Linked DNA regions of Schizosaccharomyces pombe. Changing the gene in region 2 together with the main gene of any one other region gives a genetic interaction. Each region holds a gene or a part of one and is shown on either strand. Other genes may lie near its edges. The genes, in order: clr6, ppc1, hst2 and mis16.

Region 1 (4,380 bases), on a different chromosome or scaffold from region 2:
AACCTTCATTTAGTCCATAAAGAGAAATACGTTAGGAGGAAAGAATAATCGAGGACTGGCAGTTTTGCAATCTTTAACAAGCCTTATTAATCGAGAACTTGAAGAAGCAGAATTTCGCGACGCTGCTCTCCTAGGTTGGCTAATTGAAATTGTAAGTAAACTGGTTTTTTAATTCAGATTTGTTTACGTAAAATCACTGGGGTACTGACGGATGTTCAGTTGCAAGGTTGCTTTTTAATGGCAGATGATATTATGGATCAGTCTATCAAACGACGTGGTTTAGATTGTTGGTATTTGGTAGTTGGTGTACGAAGGGCAATTAATGAGTCACAATTACTAGAAGCATGTATTCCACTTTTAATTCGAAAGTATTTCAGAAATATGCCATACTATGTCGATTTATTGGATACTTTCCGAGAGGTATGTTACAATAAATTCAACTAAAAAGCTTACTTTCAAGGTTACTTTTCTCACCGAGTTGGGGCAACAAGAAGATTTGCTTTCATCACGAGACGGAGAAGCCTCGTTACGATCTTTTGATTTAATGAAATATGACTTTATTATCACTTATAAAACATCATTTTATTCCTTTTACCTTCCTATTAAATGTGCTTTATTGTTGTCTCGCAATTCGAATCAAAAGGCGTATGATACGACTATAAAGCTTTCAAAACTTCTTGGTTATTATTTCCAAGTCCAAGATGACTACTTAGATTGTTTCGGTGATTACACGGTTTTGGGTAAAGTGGGAATGGACATACAAGACAATAAATGCACATGGCTAGTTTGTTATGCTGAAAAATTTGCCTCTGCGGATCAGCTGAATCTTCTTCGTGCTCATTATGGAAAAGCAGGGTCTGAAAACATAGCTGTAATAAAGCAGCTTTATCATGAGCTTCAAATACCTGAATTATATCACAAATTTGAAGATGACATGGTGGATTCTATATCCAAAGAAATTGATTTGATTGATGAATCTACTGGATTGAAAAAGTGTATATTTACTAAGTTTTTTCAGCTCATTTACAAAAGGTCACGGTAGCAGTCATTTCATTTTAAATAACCGTTATTATCTTCTTCCTTATTTAAAATTTATTATTTGATGACCTTCCAAATTCTTTATGATACTGATCGACGATTTGTATTTAGGGTTATTCTTAAGGTTTCATATCATTATAGCATTTATGGTTTTTTTCATTATTGTTAAAGATCTGCATTCAGAATTTACTTTTTTAATGATTATCTGGTTGATACATTACTCTACTTGGGAAACTAAGCAAGATTTAGATTATGTAGATGTAAACATTTGGTGAGTAGTATAATAATAACATCAAATGACATTGACGATCGTTGTTAATTGGATTGGTTATGAAAGAATTATTATATTGCTCATTTGAGAAAATGCAAAAACTGTCACTGAAAAAAACATACAGCACATTTTAATAGACATTCCAAGGTTAGTCCTTTTTGTTATAACAGTATTTTACTTAAATTGAACAATTAATCGTTACTTATTTAAGATCTTGAAACACTAGTTCGTGGATGGGAGAAATATTCAATAGAACCAGGCTGCTGCTTCAGCTTCTGACCACTCCATCATAGCAACAATTCTACGCGAAAGCGCTCCGAACCTAACATTTTTAATTGATAACATAAGGAAACTGTTTGCCTTATTAAATAATTGGGAAAGAAAATCCTATTTGAAACTATGGGGTTCGGGAAGAAAAAGGTTTCTTATTTCTATGATGGTACGTGTAAACTAGTAAGATCCTAGCTAATTTTTGAAATAGAGGATGTTGGAAATTATCACTATGGTCCTCAGCATCCAATGAAGCCTCATCGCGTTCGCATGGTATGATATAAAGCTATAACTATTTATCATCATTAACCTACTTAGGTTCATAATCTGGTCGTTAATTACAACTTGTATGAGAAGTTGAACGTTATTGTAAGTTCTATTTCTCCTTTTTATACTAATAAAGTATACAAGACACCTGTTAGAGCAACAAGGAATGACATGACTCGTTGTCATACCGATGAGTATATTGAATTTCTTTGGAGAGTTACACCTGACACGATGGAAAAATTTCAACCGCATCAGCTGAAATGTAAGATTTCATTTCGATTATTTATAAATAACCGTGATTTTAGTTAACGTCGGTGATGATTGTCCTGTTTTTGAGTATGTGCGTTTATCAAATTTTTTATACTAACAATTGTTTAGTGGGCTGTACGAATTTTGTTCAATTTCTGCTGGCGGTTCAATTGGTAAGATAAAAGTTTTTCCCAAAAAAGGGGCTTTGAAGCATCCGCTGAATTTGTGAATGGAGTATAGGACTTTAACTAACATTGGTTTAGGTGCTGCTCAAGAACTTAACTCGGGAAACGCAGAAATTGCTATTAAGTATGTTATTGAGGATTTTTTAGTACTTTGAAGATCAACTAACCACTTAATTAAGTTGGGCTGGAGGCCTACATCACGCTAAAAAACGTGAAGCTTCTGGTTTCTGCTATGTTAATGATATCGCGTTGGCTGCTTTAGAATTGCTGAAATATCATCAACGTGTTCTTTACATTGATATTGATGTTCACCACGGAGACGGTGTAGAAGAATTTTTCTACACTACGGATCGCGTTATGACTTGTTCATTCCACAAATTCGGTGAATATTTTCCAGGAACCGGTCATATCAAGGTATGCATGCGGCTTTATATTTGGATTTACTTTTCTAATATTTTAGGACACCGGAATTGGAACAGGAAAAAACTATGCTGTTAACGTTCCTTTGAGAGATGGTATTGACGATGAATCTTATGAAAGCGTATTTAAGCCTGTAAGTCTTTTTTATAAATTTCTTTGTTCTAACAATCTGAATTAGGTTATAAGTCACATAATGCAATGGTTTCGACCGGAAGCTGTTATTTTACAATGTGGAACAGATTCTCTCGCTGGTGATCGACTAGGCTGCTTCAATCTGTCAATGAAGGGTAAGTAACTACTGTTTCTCGTTTTTACTAATTCCCCTCAACAGGACATTCAATGTGCGTTGATTTTGTTAAGAGCTTTAATTTGCCAATGATATGCGTTGGAGGAGGTGGATATACTGTACGGAATGTTGCCCGTGTCTGGACTTATGAAACTGGTCTTTTAGCCGGCGAAGAGCTTGATGAAAGTAAGTACCAATACGTAAATTGTTTATTAACCCATCCAAGACCTTCCTTATAATGACTATTTACAATATTACGGTCCCGATTACAAGCTCAATGTTCTTTCAAACAATATGGAAAACCATAACACTCGGCAGTATCTTGATTCGATAACGTATGCTACCTTTTGAGTTTTATTCTTACGAGGCTGACCAAATTTAGCTCTGAAATCATCGAAAATTTGAGAAACTTATCTTTTGCACCTAGCGTTCAAATGCATAGTAAGTATAAGCGGTTATCGAAAAATGTGCTAACAAATACTCTTACATTAGAAACTCCCGGTGACTTTACGTTTGAAAATGCCGAAAAGCAGAACATTGCGAAAGAAGAGATTATGGATGAGCGCGTATAGACCTATATAAAATTTTGTATGTTCATGGTGTTTGAATCCATTATACTCGGTTTTTTTGTGTTATTTGAATCATGAATACTATAAAAGCTATTATGTTTAAATACCCTTATTTATAAGAATTCTCCAGCATAATTAGACTTCAGCATTAAATTGAAAATGCTCATTACATATAATAACAAACACTTTATATTCTATACTCTAGATGTGACTTGTGGTTTTAAAAAAAAAGGAATAGCCAAAAAATTAACGCACAAAGAAAGAAGAAACGGAAATCACAAGGTAGTAGTAATTATATGTCTATCCGAAGTAAAAGGTCAAAACAATTAAGGAAGTACAATATACTTCTTGTATTGTGGCTCAATTACATCAAATAATTTTTTACTTTCAAGGAATGAGCGACTGAATAAACGAGTGGCATACTTGTGACCAGAATCACAAAGAATTGTAACCACCGTCTTGCCAGGACCTAATATTTTAGCCATTTCAACAGCAGCGACCACATTTAAGCAAGAAGAGCCGCCCAAGAAAAGACCTTCTTGGTCTAACAAACGAAAGAACATGTTAATAGATTTTTCGTCAGGGATTTTCATAGCATCGTCAATGAGATCGTAAACAGGTTGGACATTTCCAGTAATACGACCTTGACCAATGCCTTCGGTAAATGAAGAACCCTTGTTGTCAGGATGCTTACCCTTCGTTTTGATATGGCTATACAAAACACTTCCAGGGGGATCAGCCACGAAAGAAGCAACACGACCGTCGGACTTCTCCTTCAAATACTTGGTAACGCCGGCAAAAGTACCACCAGTACCAGTAGAGCAG
Region 2 (4,191 bases):
CTGCAAACAAATTTAAAATGGTCCAGTAAATTTTAGAGTATACTTAATTAGGAAGAATGATGGCCTCGTAATATTGATCGTTCGTTATAACATTGTATTTGGCAATCAACCTGTCACAACCTCTCTTCCCCTTTATATTGTACGACATTAATCGATCCGTTTTTTATTTCAACCCAACTCCTACGTATTTATTTGCAGGTAATAATTAATTTTATTAATTAAGAAAAGATTATCAAAAGATCCTTATCGTCATTCAGTAATGAGTCGCTGCTGTTTAAATTTGCCATTGAGACCAGCATTTGTTAAGCAGCCGGTATGGGGGAAGAGTATATACGGTCCCTTAAGAAGAAGATTTTCATTTTCTCCAATAAATGTTATTAATCATTCACCTTCGGAAACGAAGAGAAGAGACCCAGTAGAAGAACTCAGATACAAACCCCTTACACCTCCTCAAGATCCACGTAAAGTGGCTCCGCCAAATAGTTTTCTAAAGAAAATAAGTCTTATTTATCAAAAATATATCTCTCCTAAACAAAATTTATATTATGAGGCTACTGGTACTGCAAGATACATGTATTTTGAGGCTGCTCGACAAGCTACCCCCGAAAAAAACTCGCTAGGTGCTTTTGAATTTTGGTACCAGAAGTGTGAAATTCCTATGACATTTCAGTCTTGGTTTCAAATAACGCAATTACATTTGTGGATCCTCCATACTCGCATTCGTGGTTTGCCAAAAAATGAAAAAGTTGCCTTTTCACAGGCATTAACTACTCGTTTCTTTGAAGACATGGAACTCAGAATTCATAAAGATTACCGCATTAATAGCAATCGAATTTCTGGTATGTATCTGAAAGATCTGTTTCAGCAACAGACCGGCGCCATTTTTGGTTATGATCAAGGAATGCTGGGAAGTGATGCTGTTTTGGCTACATCCGTTTGGCGTAACCTTTTCGTTGGTCGCCCAGACGTCGACTTAGTAATTCTTGAGACTATTGTTAAATTTATTCGCCTCAATGTTTATCGCCTGTCATGTTTATCAACCGATGACTTTATCAATGGGAAGGGAGTACACTTCGTCCCACCTGAAGAAAGTGCACAAACAAATATTTGATTAATAAATGATTGCTACTCTAATGATTAATAAATTGACGAACGGTCATGTTTATTATGCAAAACCATGAATCTTTTTTGTAAATAATTACTTTGAAAGCTTTTACCATTACGTTAAATTGAAAAGTAATGAGGAGCTTTTGAAATATTTTATAGTAGAGAATGTTTGTCAATTTAATTGAAATCGTAGCATTATGTTGTATTGGAACTAGTATTTTAATAGCAGTTAATACCGATATTATCGATGCATTAATTAGCTACTTCTTTTCGTCTTGCTTTCCGATAAAGCTTTCTTGTTTAGCTTTATTGTATTCCGACCTGATCTGCCACTCCGATATTTCGTCTGCGCTGCATATTCCATATTAGTTACATATCCTTTTTTATACATGATTGATGAATAAGTTTCTTACGCTTTGGTTAAACAATCCTTCATCGTTTTATTTTCACTTCTACATTTCCAGGTTACGCTAAAAGTCCTGCCAGTAGCGCATTTCACAAAATCTTCAATTTCTTTCTGGCAATTTTTTTTTAATAGCTTTTGGTGCTGTTTCCGAAGATCAAATTCCTCTTCAATTGGAGATTTATTCATTTTAGATAATCAGTAAAATGTTGGTAACTAAACCACGTTACCCAACAGAGCGCAAATAAATGAAAATTTTTAGTCTTAAGTTGATTAAAACACAAACTTAAAATTTATTTTAATTTTAGCTTTTCATAAAAGACAAGCACGAGTTGAATAAAAAAAAAAGGCCTTAAGTGTAATACAATCACAAAGTGTCGCGTTTCAGTCGTTTGTGGTGTCGCTATCGTCTACATTGTTCAATAAACAGACCACTACTTGCTGAATTTACAAGCTGCTAGAGAACTGTTTGGTTAGCATTTCAGATTTTGTGAGTTCTCTAGTCCTATCATTCAGCAATAACGCATACAGTTTTTTAAACGTCGTTTGTTTATTTTTGAGCTCATCGTAAGAGAGGCATTTCTGGGTTGCGATACTCTTAGCTATTTAGAATATATGCCAGAAATGGATAAATCTAACGATTTCTTTGAGGAGAATCCTTGTCCTAACTCACTCGGTGATGTCTCAAGTCTGATTGAAGATTTTATAAACCTTCAATCAAACTCCCAAAACATTGCATTTGTTACTAGTGGCGGCACACTTGTGCCTCTTGAGCAAAATACGGTGCGTTTTATCGATAACTTTAGTGCAGGAAATCGTGGTGCAGCATCTGCTGAATACTTTTGCAAGTCTGGATATTCGGTCATTTTTCTGTATAGAAATTATAGTTTAATGCCATTTACTCGACGATATGAAGGTCCCTGGACAAATTTGTTTGAAAGAAGTAATGGCAGTCAGGAGAAGCCTTGGATTGTCAAACAAGAGTTTCAATCGACAGTATTCAATGCACTCAACGAATTAGATACATATACGAAACATCATCGACTGATAATGATTCCTTATACTACACTCACAGAATATTTGTGGTACCTGAAAGCTATAGCTGAACGTTTACAGATAATCGCTTCAAGAGCATTGTTTTATTTAGCAGCTGCTGTTAGTGATTTCCATATTCCACCGAAGGAATTGAGCGAGCACAAAATTCAAAGTGGTTCTGGAAGTAACAAATTAGAAGTCAAAATGCATCCGGTTCCAAAATTTCTGCGTTTCTTGGTTGACACATGGGCTCCTGAAGCTTCTATTATTTCCTTTAAATTAGAAACCGACCCTAGTATTCTGATTGATAAAGCAAGAGTAGCTTTACAACGTTATAACCACCAGCTGGTGATCGCCAACCTTCTTTCAACAAGGAAACGATCTGTCGCGTTTGTAACCTCAAAAACGGTTGAATGGCTTCATTTGAGCGACGATGACATTGTAAAAAAGGTAGAAATCGAGCAATACATTGTTTCGAGGGCAATTTCGTTGCACAAGGAACGAATTCAAGAGTTCGCAAAGGCACCTTAAATTATGTTTATTGACGATTAGTCGATTATGAACTTATAAAAAGTACTAGTTATGTTTCTTATCTGCTTTAACTTATATGAACTATCGGTTTTTCTTTTAAACATTTTACTCATTTATATTGTTAGGGTTTATTATGCAAACACCAGTGGTACTTTTTTATTTCTCTATCATTTTCGTCTTGTTATTTTACGAAGTTGCTTTATAGCATTTGTAGAGGGGTTTACGAAAAAAATGAAAGGCTTTATAAATTGCTAATACGAGCTATGAATTGAATCGTGTACTATTGGATCTGTTGTAATTTTTTAAAAATTGCAGCTTTTTTTTTAGATACTTATTACTGTTGTAGATTACTCAGGTCTGAAGTGTGTTAAAGAATATATTAAAAATGATGATTAGTTTATAAAAATCAATGTCAGGAGTATATAGAAAGCAAAGACTTGAATTTAAAATGCGCAACAGTTATCTTGAATGAACAAAAAATAAATAGTGAGTACCTGTAAGTAGTAAGCGTATATGATTGTTTCTAAAGCCTTCAGTTCTTTTTGAGATCCCATACTTCTTATGAGTCGCTTCAAACCCCATGACTAAAATGCTCATGTTTAATTGCAAGCTCACGTACACAAACAACGGCGATTGTTATATAGTTCAATGAAAAACCTATGAGATTTCAATTACTTTTAAAACTGTTAGAGAATCAGAATGCAAAGGTTGGCAGCTCGAAAATGTCGAGGATAAAACAAATATTTAAAAAGGCTATTATGGCTTTTACAGACATTGGTAAATAATTTTCTTTATAAATATTTTAGTAGTTTTTAATGTATATGAAGTCGCAATGGTGTAGTTGGGAGCATGACAGACTGAAGATCTGTTGGTCATCGGTTCGATCCCGGTTTGTGACACTTTTTGTAAAACAACACAAGTTTATGTAAAGAATTCTTTATACAAAACTGGAAAAAACTATAGAACAAAGCTGCAAACGTTTTTACGATAAAACTGACCTATGACTTATAATCCAGTTCCTCTGCTTCCTATTGAGACATGTTAAGACGGTTAATCATAAGATTCCATTCTGGATGAATTGCACCATTCATTAATCGTGGTTCTTAAGCTAAAAA
Region 3 (4,106 bases), 190 kb from region 2:
GACGTCAAATCTAAAAACGTTAATTATAAATCATATATCTGGCTTTCGAACAATTATTTATTTGCTAAGCATTCATATAGATCAAATTCATGAATCTTGTATAGCTAGGTAGAAGGAAGCGTTAGAATCGGTAAATTCTTAGCAAACCGAACAGGAGGTGACAGCCATGTAGTCAGTAATTCGTACAACTCATAAGTTACCCAAAGGTACATAGATATATGCAGATAAAATAGATATAAATTTAATAATTGTTCTAAAATTAACTGATAATTGTTCAAGCGCTTAGATACTTGTTTTCTGTAATATGAATTATGTCTTTACATCTCTAGTTCATTTTATGAACAATAATGACCACAAGAACAAAATTCAAATCAGAACTGGTTATGATGATGGACTAACTGGTTTATACACCGTCCCCTGTTACAATATACAATTCGTAGAAAACGCTTTAGTTTTTCAAAGGAAGCATTATTCTTGAATGAAACTACAAAAAGAACAATTTGATTAATTATTCCTATTTCCAATTCTTGGATAATTCAAAGTTTTATTAAATGAAAATGAATAATCTCCCATTTCAGAACTATATGTTCCAAACTGAACAGAAAAAAGGTTTCGACAAAGATTGTATTAGATTACAGTGCAGTAAATTTGAAACCATTATCAATTATTCTAGCGCAACTTTCTCATAACCCAAATTGCGTATATAGATGGACGCCAATTTTAAAAAAAATGCAAGTTATTTTCACGAAAATGCGAGGGCATCTTCATGAGTTTGATCGAGATCGTATACAGAACCCCCTTTTTGTTATCCTTTTCGCATTAGTTTAACCCAGCATACAACTCATAAAGAGAGCAATATGATTCATGGTTAAGAGGCAATCAAAAGGACGCCTGGAAGGAAATATTATAAAATTGCTGAAATAAAAAAAAGTATTTAAACTTGTTTAAAAGAAAACGAATCGTATGTGTAGATTCAAATATTCATCAAACCGAATCGTGAATTTCCGTTTTCTTAGTATAATAAATATAGGGATCTCCTAGTTTTAATCATGACAATATAGAAAATTTCCCGAATAACTGAACTATTCATCATCAGAAACTAACAGCGTCACCTCGTCTTTTTTCTTCTCCTCTATTTTAGTGAAAGGATTGACCGAGTTATCGTCTTTCTTTTGTTCAGAGGCATTCTTTTCTATTGTAGAGTCAACAGAAAGTAAAGATATTTCTTCTGTCAGCGTTTCAACACTCGTATCAATCAACTTTTCCAATTCATCAGACCATCCTAATAGTTTACATAACGCACGTACTTGGGAATCACAATCCCCCAATATCATGATATCCTTTTTTCTCTCCCCAAAGTCGCCAGCTGGTTCTCGATTAATCAAAACTCGTTGACATTTATTTGGCACTATTTCAGGCAAATCCGCGAATGGATGAACAAGTAAACTTGTTCCAATTACCAGTGCCATATCACAGACTTTTGTGTCCTTTTCCATGTGCTCGAAGAAACGCATTGGTAATCCCTCGCCATAAAACACAATCATTGGTTTGATGAGACCTTTGCAACTGTTGCATTTAGGGACCTGTTTTTGCATAATACATGCTCTAACATACTCCGTTTCCGCCTTTGTTTTCCGTCAGTAAAACCAATTTCTGCTTTTTCACTTTAACTTTTTCAAAAACAATCCTTACCATTTCGTAACATTCAATACAGCGGCTGTATTGGAAAGAGCCATGTGCTTCAATCAGAGCTTTGTCAGGCACACCTGCCAAACGCTCCAAGGTATCAATATTTTGGGTATAACATTTTTGTAGTAACCTTTTATCATGTAAAAGGCGTATAAAATAATGAGTATAAGTTGGTCTATACTTTTCAGGCATCAATTCGTGAGCCAATTCGTAGAATGGACGCGGATTTTTTCGAAAATAAGATAGATCAAAAACAGCTTCTGCGTAAGGAAGATTAAATCTTTGTAAATTATTGTAAATTCCAGTCTCAGGGCTTCGAAAATCAGGGATTCCTGCTGCAGTGCTGATCCCTGCACCAACCATAACACATATTTTCTTTACTATTTTCGATAAAATCGCATTAGTATGGTCAAGGAAAGAAAATTAAAAGTCATTACCTTTTCCTTCTTTGATTAAGGATGCAACTTTCTCTAAATGCTTGGAAGAGTCGACGTGTTTAACAGTGTTTTTCACCATTGTCGAATTTCTGAGAACAACCAAAGCAAGCCAATAATCGATTTACCTTAAAAATCCCAACTCAAACTCTTTCAAAAATTGGATCACTTAAAATTCTCAGATATGAACAAATCAATATGTTAATGCACAAAGTTTGTGGGTACGCCAAATTTCCATTATTATTTACTCGTTGAAAATATCAAACGCCATTACCGATGCTCCATTAAACTGCATTATACTGTTTAAAAGGCTATTGTATTCGACTTTAGTACTCGTTATTTGGTAAACATTTAGAGCCATCTTTTTCAATTAAGAGTTTCTGGATGTCGTTGAAAAAATGAGATACGGGGTAATCAGAAATTATGATTAATCAACTTTCGGCTCACTTGATTAGATTCAGCAACGATAACTCTTGACTTTCTGGTTTTACTTATTGGGTTGGTCACACCAGTTTGACATATTAGGTGTCAAAGTTTTTTATAAGTTTATCATTAGTTAACTATTTTTTATCTTTATAATCAGTGTCATGTACGACTATAAATGTACGATTAAAGAATCATCGTCGGGAAAGAAATAATGAATTTGAGAGAACAATCCAAATTTGCGCTAAGAATTTTAATGCTGCTAATGTACACCGTTTTATGGTGCAATGGTGTGCTATAATTTTCCTTATTACATATTGCGGATATCATTGCGCTTTGTTAGTGCTTCAGTTTCACTTACGTTATACACATGTTTACATTCTAACTAGAGCCTATACTTCATTTTGTTGTAACGCAGAAATTCATTTAGATAGGTGTTATAGACGTAAATGAAGCAAAGATTTTCCGCTTTAGATATTGCTGCGATTGCTGCGGAATTACGAGAACAAGTGGTTGGGTGTCGCTTGAATAACTTTTATGATCTAAATGCGCGTACCTTCTTGTTGAAGTTTGGTAAACAAGTATGTGTAGAAAGTAATAAATATTTTTTTACTAACCCGTTAAAGGATGCAAAATATTCTATTGTTATTGAAAGTGGGTTTCGTGCTCATTTAACAAAATTTGATCGAGAAAATGCCCCTTTGTCTGGGTTTGTAACGAAGCTACGAAAACATATAAAATCTAGAAGGTTAACTGGTGTCTCTCAGTTGGGTACTGATCGAGTACTCGTTTTCACATTTGGAGGTGGTGCGAATGATCAAGACCCCGATTGGACGTACTATCTGGTTTGTGAATTTTTCGCTGCTGGAAATGTTTTACTATTAGACGGCCATTACAAGATTCTGTCTCTTTTACGAGTGGTCACCTTCGATAAAGACCAAGTTTATGCCGTAGGGCAAAAGTACAATTTAGACAAAAATAATCTCGTTAATGACAATAAATCTCAGTCTACTATTCCTCATATGACAGCTGAACGATTAAATATCCTTTTGGATGAAATAAGCACTGCTTATGCTTCTCCTACTTCTATTAACGAACCTTTACCTGACCAACAACTATCCTCTTCTACAAAGCCGATTAAAGTACCCAAACCAGTTTCTCTTAGAAAAGCATTGACTATAAGATTAGGTGAATATGGTAATGCACTTATAGAGCACTGTCTTCGGCGTTCAAAATTAGATCCACTATTCCCTGCTTGCCAGCTCTGTGCAGACGAAACCAAGAAAAACGATTTATTAGCTGCTTTTCAAGAAGCCGACTCCATATTAGCTGCAGTTAATAAGCCCCCAGTAAAGGGTTATATATTTTCACTGGAGCAAGCACTAACAAATGCTGCTGATCCTCAACACCCTGAAGAATGTACTACATTATACGAAGATTTTCACCCTTTTCAGCCTTTACAGCTCGTTCAGGCAAACAGAAAGTGCATGGAGTTTCCAACCTATAACGAATGCGTTGACGAGTTTTTCTCTTCTATCGAAGCACAAAAGCTAAAAAAAC
Region 4 (4,120 bases), 560 kb from region 2:
TGTTATCCGTTTGTTCAAAAAAAAGAGAGAAAAAGTTTCCTAAAGGCTAAATTTTGCCTTTTTTTACTGATGACCTGTTTGTTCTCAGTTTTGTGATTATTTACGCTTATGCACACCGAAAATTTCATCTTTGAATACTTTGAAGTGTTTGTATTTTTTACTGTCATTAACAAAACCGCATTTGAAGTAGCAGGTTAATAATAATGACTGTTAAGACTGCGGTTCATAAAATTTAATTATTTTGCTTATTGTTTTTTTCAATTTCTTCTGTGCCCCGATTAATTAAGGTGTATCCGACAACCAAGGTTTGGATGCTCGATTATGTAGGCAACACAAAAATTTACATGATATGGATAGATCTTTCATAGAAATACCTCTAAATTTTGATGAATTTACTTTAGCAAGAAAAAAAAAGAATGCAATGTTAAAAACTGTTACAATAATTATAAATATACAATGGGTACCAGAAGTCGCTATGAAAACATCTGAAGTAATAAGATTACGATCAACAACTCAAAACGTGCAAATATACTCCAATTATACTAAATTCCTCTCTTATAATTGATATACTGATATTAATTGCCTCCTCAAAATACTTAGCAAACGCAAGCATTATTCCAAAAAAAAGTCGAGACGAATAACGAGCTAGACCACTGTTGGCATGCATTTTAAGGCAATGCGGTATACAAATTCCTCAGTATATCAAAATAAATAACATTAGAAAGAAAGTACTCATCTGGGAATTTTTTTTTTTTAATTCACAACTATATTTAATAAATATTTTAAATTAAAATCAGTAAATTGCTATGATGAGGTTAAAAGAAATAAGAGACACGATTTGAATTGTACTGTTATCGAATAATTTATCAAGTTAGCATGTTAAAGTTTCCACGACAAGTACCCAAAAGTCTGACTACGTGCTATTAAAGCTAGCTAATCATATAAATTAAAATCAGCCAAAACTCATAGTCATTTCACAAGTTTCTCTTTTCAGCCATTGTTTACATATGAAATTTTACTTAGTCTCCAGAACATCGTTTCTAATACCCTAACCTAAGGTAAAAACCGTCACAACAAATTTACTATATATAGGGTCTGTTCAGTTGATGATTCACCATCATCAGTAGGTTTTAACTTACTTTGTTATATAAGTAAAGTAAAATCAATCCTGAAGTCAAGTATGATGGTTGGAGTCTCCGGACCAAGAAAATGCATCCGTTCCGTCTTCAGCGAAGAATTGAGTGGCTTTCCCGGTCGTTGACTTTTTTCCATGGGTCAAGGATGGGATTGTCTCCCAGACATTTTTAATTAAAAAAAGTTTATATTTGATTAGTTTAGATACGTACCCAAAGTTTGCAATACTACATGATTTGTTTAATAAATTTACGGTGTACTGTAAAACAATTCGTAGAGCCAACAGTATAAATATCCCATTGATGGCTGGGTTCAATAGTTTTATTTTTAGTGTAAATATAATGACAATCTGTTTATCAAAGTATACTGAGATTATAATATTTGTTTTTGCCAAATGGTTTTATAATTATTAGAGCATGATAAAGACGATGTTTGAGGAATTCTTCTCACTATGAATGTCTGTTTTCATGGAGACGTGGCATCAAGTAATGGTTTTTAGAGGCATGTTCAAATTTGTTTTCGCTCATTGAAACTTGTTTTCTATATCGCTGTTCATGAATTTTATTTTATTTTTTTTTTATTTCAGACTTAAGAGTGCGCTAGATTTATTTGGGCATCTTTAAATAATGTAAATTACTTATAACTCCAAAACTTTTAACTTGGCAATCTAGTTTGGGCCATTGTGTAGTTGCCCAAAACATGTCAGAGGAAGTAGTCCAGGATGCACCTCTCGAGAATAATGAACTCAATGCCGAGATAGACTTACAAAAAACAATACAAGAAGGTATGATTAAAGGGAATTCTTCATTAATATATATTATTATGCCGTAATTACTGACGATTATACTCGTTTCAGAATACAAACTTTGGAAACAAAATGTTCCCTTTCTGTATGACTTGGTAATAACCCACGCTTTGGAATGGCCTTCTTTGACAATTCAATGGCTTCCTGACAAAAAAACGTACGTTGCTTGCCAAAGTAGTTAGGCTATGATTATACTGGCCTTTACTTCAAACCATCTCATCAGTTTTCTAACTCGATTCTTGAAGAATACCAGGTACTGATTACTCTATTCAACGTCTTATTCTTGGCACTCACACATCTGGTAATGATCAAAATTATTTACAGATTGCTTCTGTGCAATTACCAAACTTTGATGAGGATACCACCGAGTTTACTCCTTCTACGATTCGAAGAGCACAGGCCACGGGCTCGTATACGATTGAAATTTCACAAAAAATCCCTCACGATGGCGATGTCAATCGTGCTCGTTACATGCCTCAAAAGCCTGAAATCATCGCTACCATGGGAGAAGGAGGAAATGCTTATATTTTTGATACAACTTGTCATGATGCCTTAACTACAGGTGAAGCACTTCCTCAAGCAGTTTTGAAGGGCCATACTGCTGAAGGTTTTGGTCTTTGCTGGAACCCGAATTTACCTGGAAATCTAGCAACAGGAGCAGAGGATCAAGTTATCTGTTTATGGGATGTTCAGACACAATCTTTTACTTCCTCTGAGACAAAAGTCATTTCCCCCATAGCCAAATATCATCGTCATACTGATATTGTTAACGATGTTCAATTTCATCCTCAACATGAGGCATTATTAGCATCGGTGTCGGATGATTGCACTTTGCAAATTCACGATACTCGGTTAAATCCAGAAGAAGAAGCTCCCAAAGTTATTCAGGCTCATTCTAAAGCCATAAATGCCGTTGCCATTAATCCCTTTAATGACTATCTTTTAGCAACAGCCAGTGCTGATAAAACAGTAGCTCTTTGGGACCTCCGTAATCCATATCAACGGTTGCATACCCTGGAAGGACACGAAGATGAGGTATATGGGTTAGAATGGTCACCTCATGATGAACCTATATTGGCATCCAGTTCAACTGATCGCCGTGTTTGTATTTGGGATTTAGAAAAGATTGGAGAGGAACAGACTCCGGAGGATGCCGAGGATGGTTCTCCAGAATTACTATTTATGCATGGAGGCCACACAAATCGCATCTCAGAATTTAGTTGGTGTCCAAACGAGCGTTGGGTGGTTGGAAGTCTTGCCGATGATAATATCCTTCAAATATGGAGCCCTTCTCGTGTCATTTGGGGTCGTGATCATGTTCAGGTTTCTCCTAGGGATCTGGAGTAAAGTTGGCCATAGAAAAAAACCCAAACTCACTTTTCCATCCTTCTACGCTTCATCTGTTTTTTGCAATATTCTTTACAATACAGAGTCATATGGTAATTGACTGCTCTCTTTTTTTCAGCTTTTGTATAATTTAAAACAAATGATCTTCGTCGCCTTGTAAATACATCAAAACTACTGTTATAAATCAGACTACATTTCTATAACACCAGAGATTAAATGTTTTGTTTGACCATGATAAAGTAAAAAGGATAGTAACTATTAATATTATACATAACAGCAAAAAAAATCTATTGAACAACAAAAGGGGGATAATATATCTCAAACTTGTTCATTTTGCAAGTCTGCGAATAGGCGTTTGTATAGTTTCTTCGAAACTTTCGTTCGGCGATTAAGTAAACGATTATTCAGGTGAGATATAAAATTGGTCATAGAAATGAAAATGTAATTTTGACCGCTGGCTGCGAGTAAATAATAAATAACACCAGCGAAGATCAAAAAGTTCTGGAAACTTTTGGACGTAGGCGTAAGTTGGAAAAGTTTCATAAAAAAGTTTTTATGATTTTGAAGTCGTATTAACTTAACGGTCAGGATCAACAAAACAACAACGACAGCTGTAAATGAATAGTTCCTCCAAACTTTTTCTCTGTAAGGAGGTCCTATGCTCAAAACCACTCCAATAAAAATATATTGGAAGCAAGAAATTAAAAACAGAGCAGTTACATCGCTATTTGTAATATTCGTATCTGAGCTATTCGCAGGTGGTGGTATATACCAGGGCTCTCTCCGTACTATCCTTAAGGTTATATATTGAATTATACAAATAAGGACGATTTG

The links.
Region 1: mutations in ppc1 (region 2) and clr6 impair growth when combined (synthetic growth defect), as found in Schizosaccharomyces pombe (one study listed by BioGRID).
Region 3: mutations in ppc1 (region 2) and hst2 impair growth when combined (synthetic growth defect), as found in Schizosaccharomyces pombe (one study listed by BioGRID).
Region 4: mutations in ppc1 (region 2) and mis16 impair growth when combined (synthetic growth defect), as found in Schizosaccharomyces pombe (one study listed by BioGRID).

What each region holds. Positions count from the first base shown.
Region 1 is NC_003423.3:848,687-853,066, reverse strand, and holds clr6 (class 1 histone deacetylase Clr6), read left to right. Parts: upstream 1-1,590; 5' UTR 1,591-1,708; coding exon 1,709-1,748; exon of another isoform or gene 1,749-1,790; coding exon 1,791-1,852; exon of another isoform or gene 1,853-1,897; coding exon 1,898-1,948; exon of another isoform or gene 1,949-1,990; coding exon 1,991-2,108; exon of another isoform or gene 2,109-2,151; coding exon 2,152-2,182; exon of another isoform or gene 2,183-2,224; coding exon 2,225-2,268; exon of another isoform or gene 2,269-2,358; coding exon 2,359-2,404; exon of another isoform or gene 2,405-2,459; coding exon 2,460-2,694; exon of another isoform or gene 2,695-2,740; coding exon 2,741-2,833; exon of another isoform or gene 2,834-2,878; coding exon 2,879-2,987; exon of another isoform or gene 2,988-3,031; coding exon 3,032-3,172; exon of another isoform or gene 3,173-3,212; coding exon 3,213-3,321; exon of another isoform or gene 3,322-3,363; intron 3,364-3,368; coding exon 3,369-3,427; intron 3,428-3,478; coding exon 3,479-3,558; 3' UTR 3,559-3,722; downstream 3,723-4,380. Other genes in the region: spo9 (ER farnesyl pyrophosphate synthetase Erg20), read left to right, coding at 14-151, 220-420, 461-1,042; cys11 (cysteine synthase), read right to left, coding at 3,882-4,380. UniProt on the Schizosaccharomyces pombe protein: Responsible for the deacetylation of lysine residues on the N-terminal part of the core histones (H2A, H2B, H3 and H4).
Region 2 is NC_003421.2:1,141,976-1,146,166, reverse strand, and holds ppc1 (phosphopantothenate-cysteine ligase), read left to right. Parts: upstream 1-1,933; 5' UTR 1,934-2,125; coding exon 2,126-3,076; 3' UTR 3,077-3,551; downstream 3,552-4,191. Other genes in the region: ubiquinol cytochrome-c reductase assembly protein Cbp3, read left to right, coding at 260-1,111; cytochrome c oxidase biogenesis protein cmc2, read right to left, coding at 1,368-1,458, 1,521-1,699.
Region 3 is NC_003421.2:1,327,197-1,331,302, reverse strand, and holds hst2 (histone deacetylase, Sirtuin family, NAD-dependent Hst2), read right to left. Parts: upstream 2,352-4,106; 5' UTR 2,206-2,351; coding exon 2,127-2,205; exon of another isoform or gene 2,125-2,126; intron 2,070-2,124; coding exon 1,693-2,069; exon of another isoform or gene 1,626-1,692; coding exon 1,083-1,625; 3' UTR 513-1,082; downstream 1-512. Other genes in the region: ribosome quality control complex subunit Rqc2, read left to right, coding at 2,996-3,127, 3,173-4,106. UniProt on the Schizosaccharomyces pombe protein: NAD-dependent histone deacetylase, which could function in telomeric silencing, cell cycle progression and chromosome stability.
Region 4 is NC_003421.2:582,302-586,421, forward strand, and holds mis16 (histone H4 chaperone, CENP-A recruiting complex CENP-A chaperone Mis16), read left to right. Parts: upstream 1-1,824; 5' UTR 1,825-1,833; coding exon 1,834-1,918; intron 1,919-1,990; coding exon 1,991-2,096; intron 2,097-2,168; exon of another isoform or gene 2,169-2,184; coding exon 2,185-3,286; 3' UTR 3,287-3,592; downstream 3,593-4,120. Other genes in the region: SPOM_SPCC1672.11C (P-type ATPase P5 type), read right to left, coding at 3,605-4,120. UniProt on the Schizosaccharomyces pombe protein: Regulatory subunit of the histone acetylase B (HAT-B) complex. The complex acetylates 'Lys-12' of histone H4 which is required for telomeric silencing.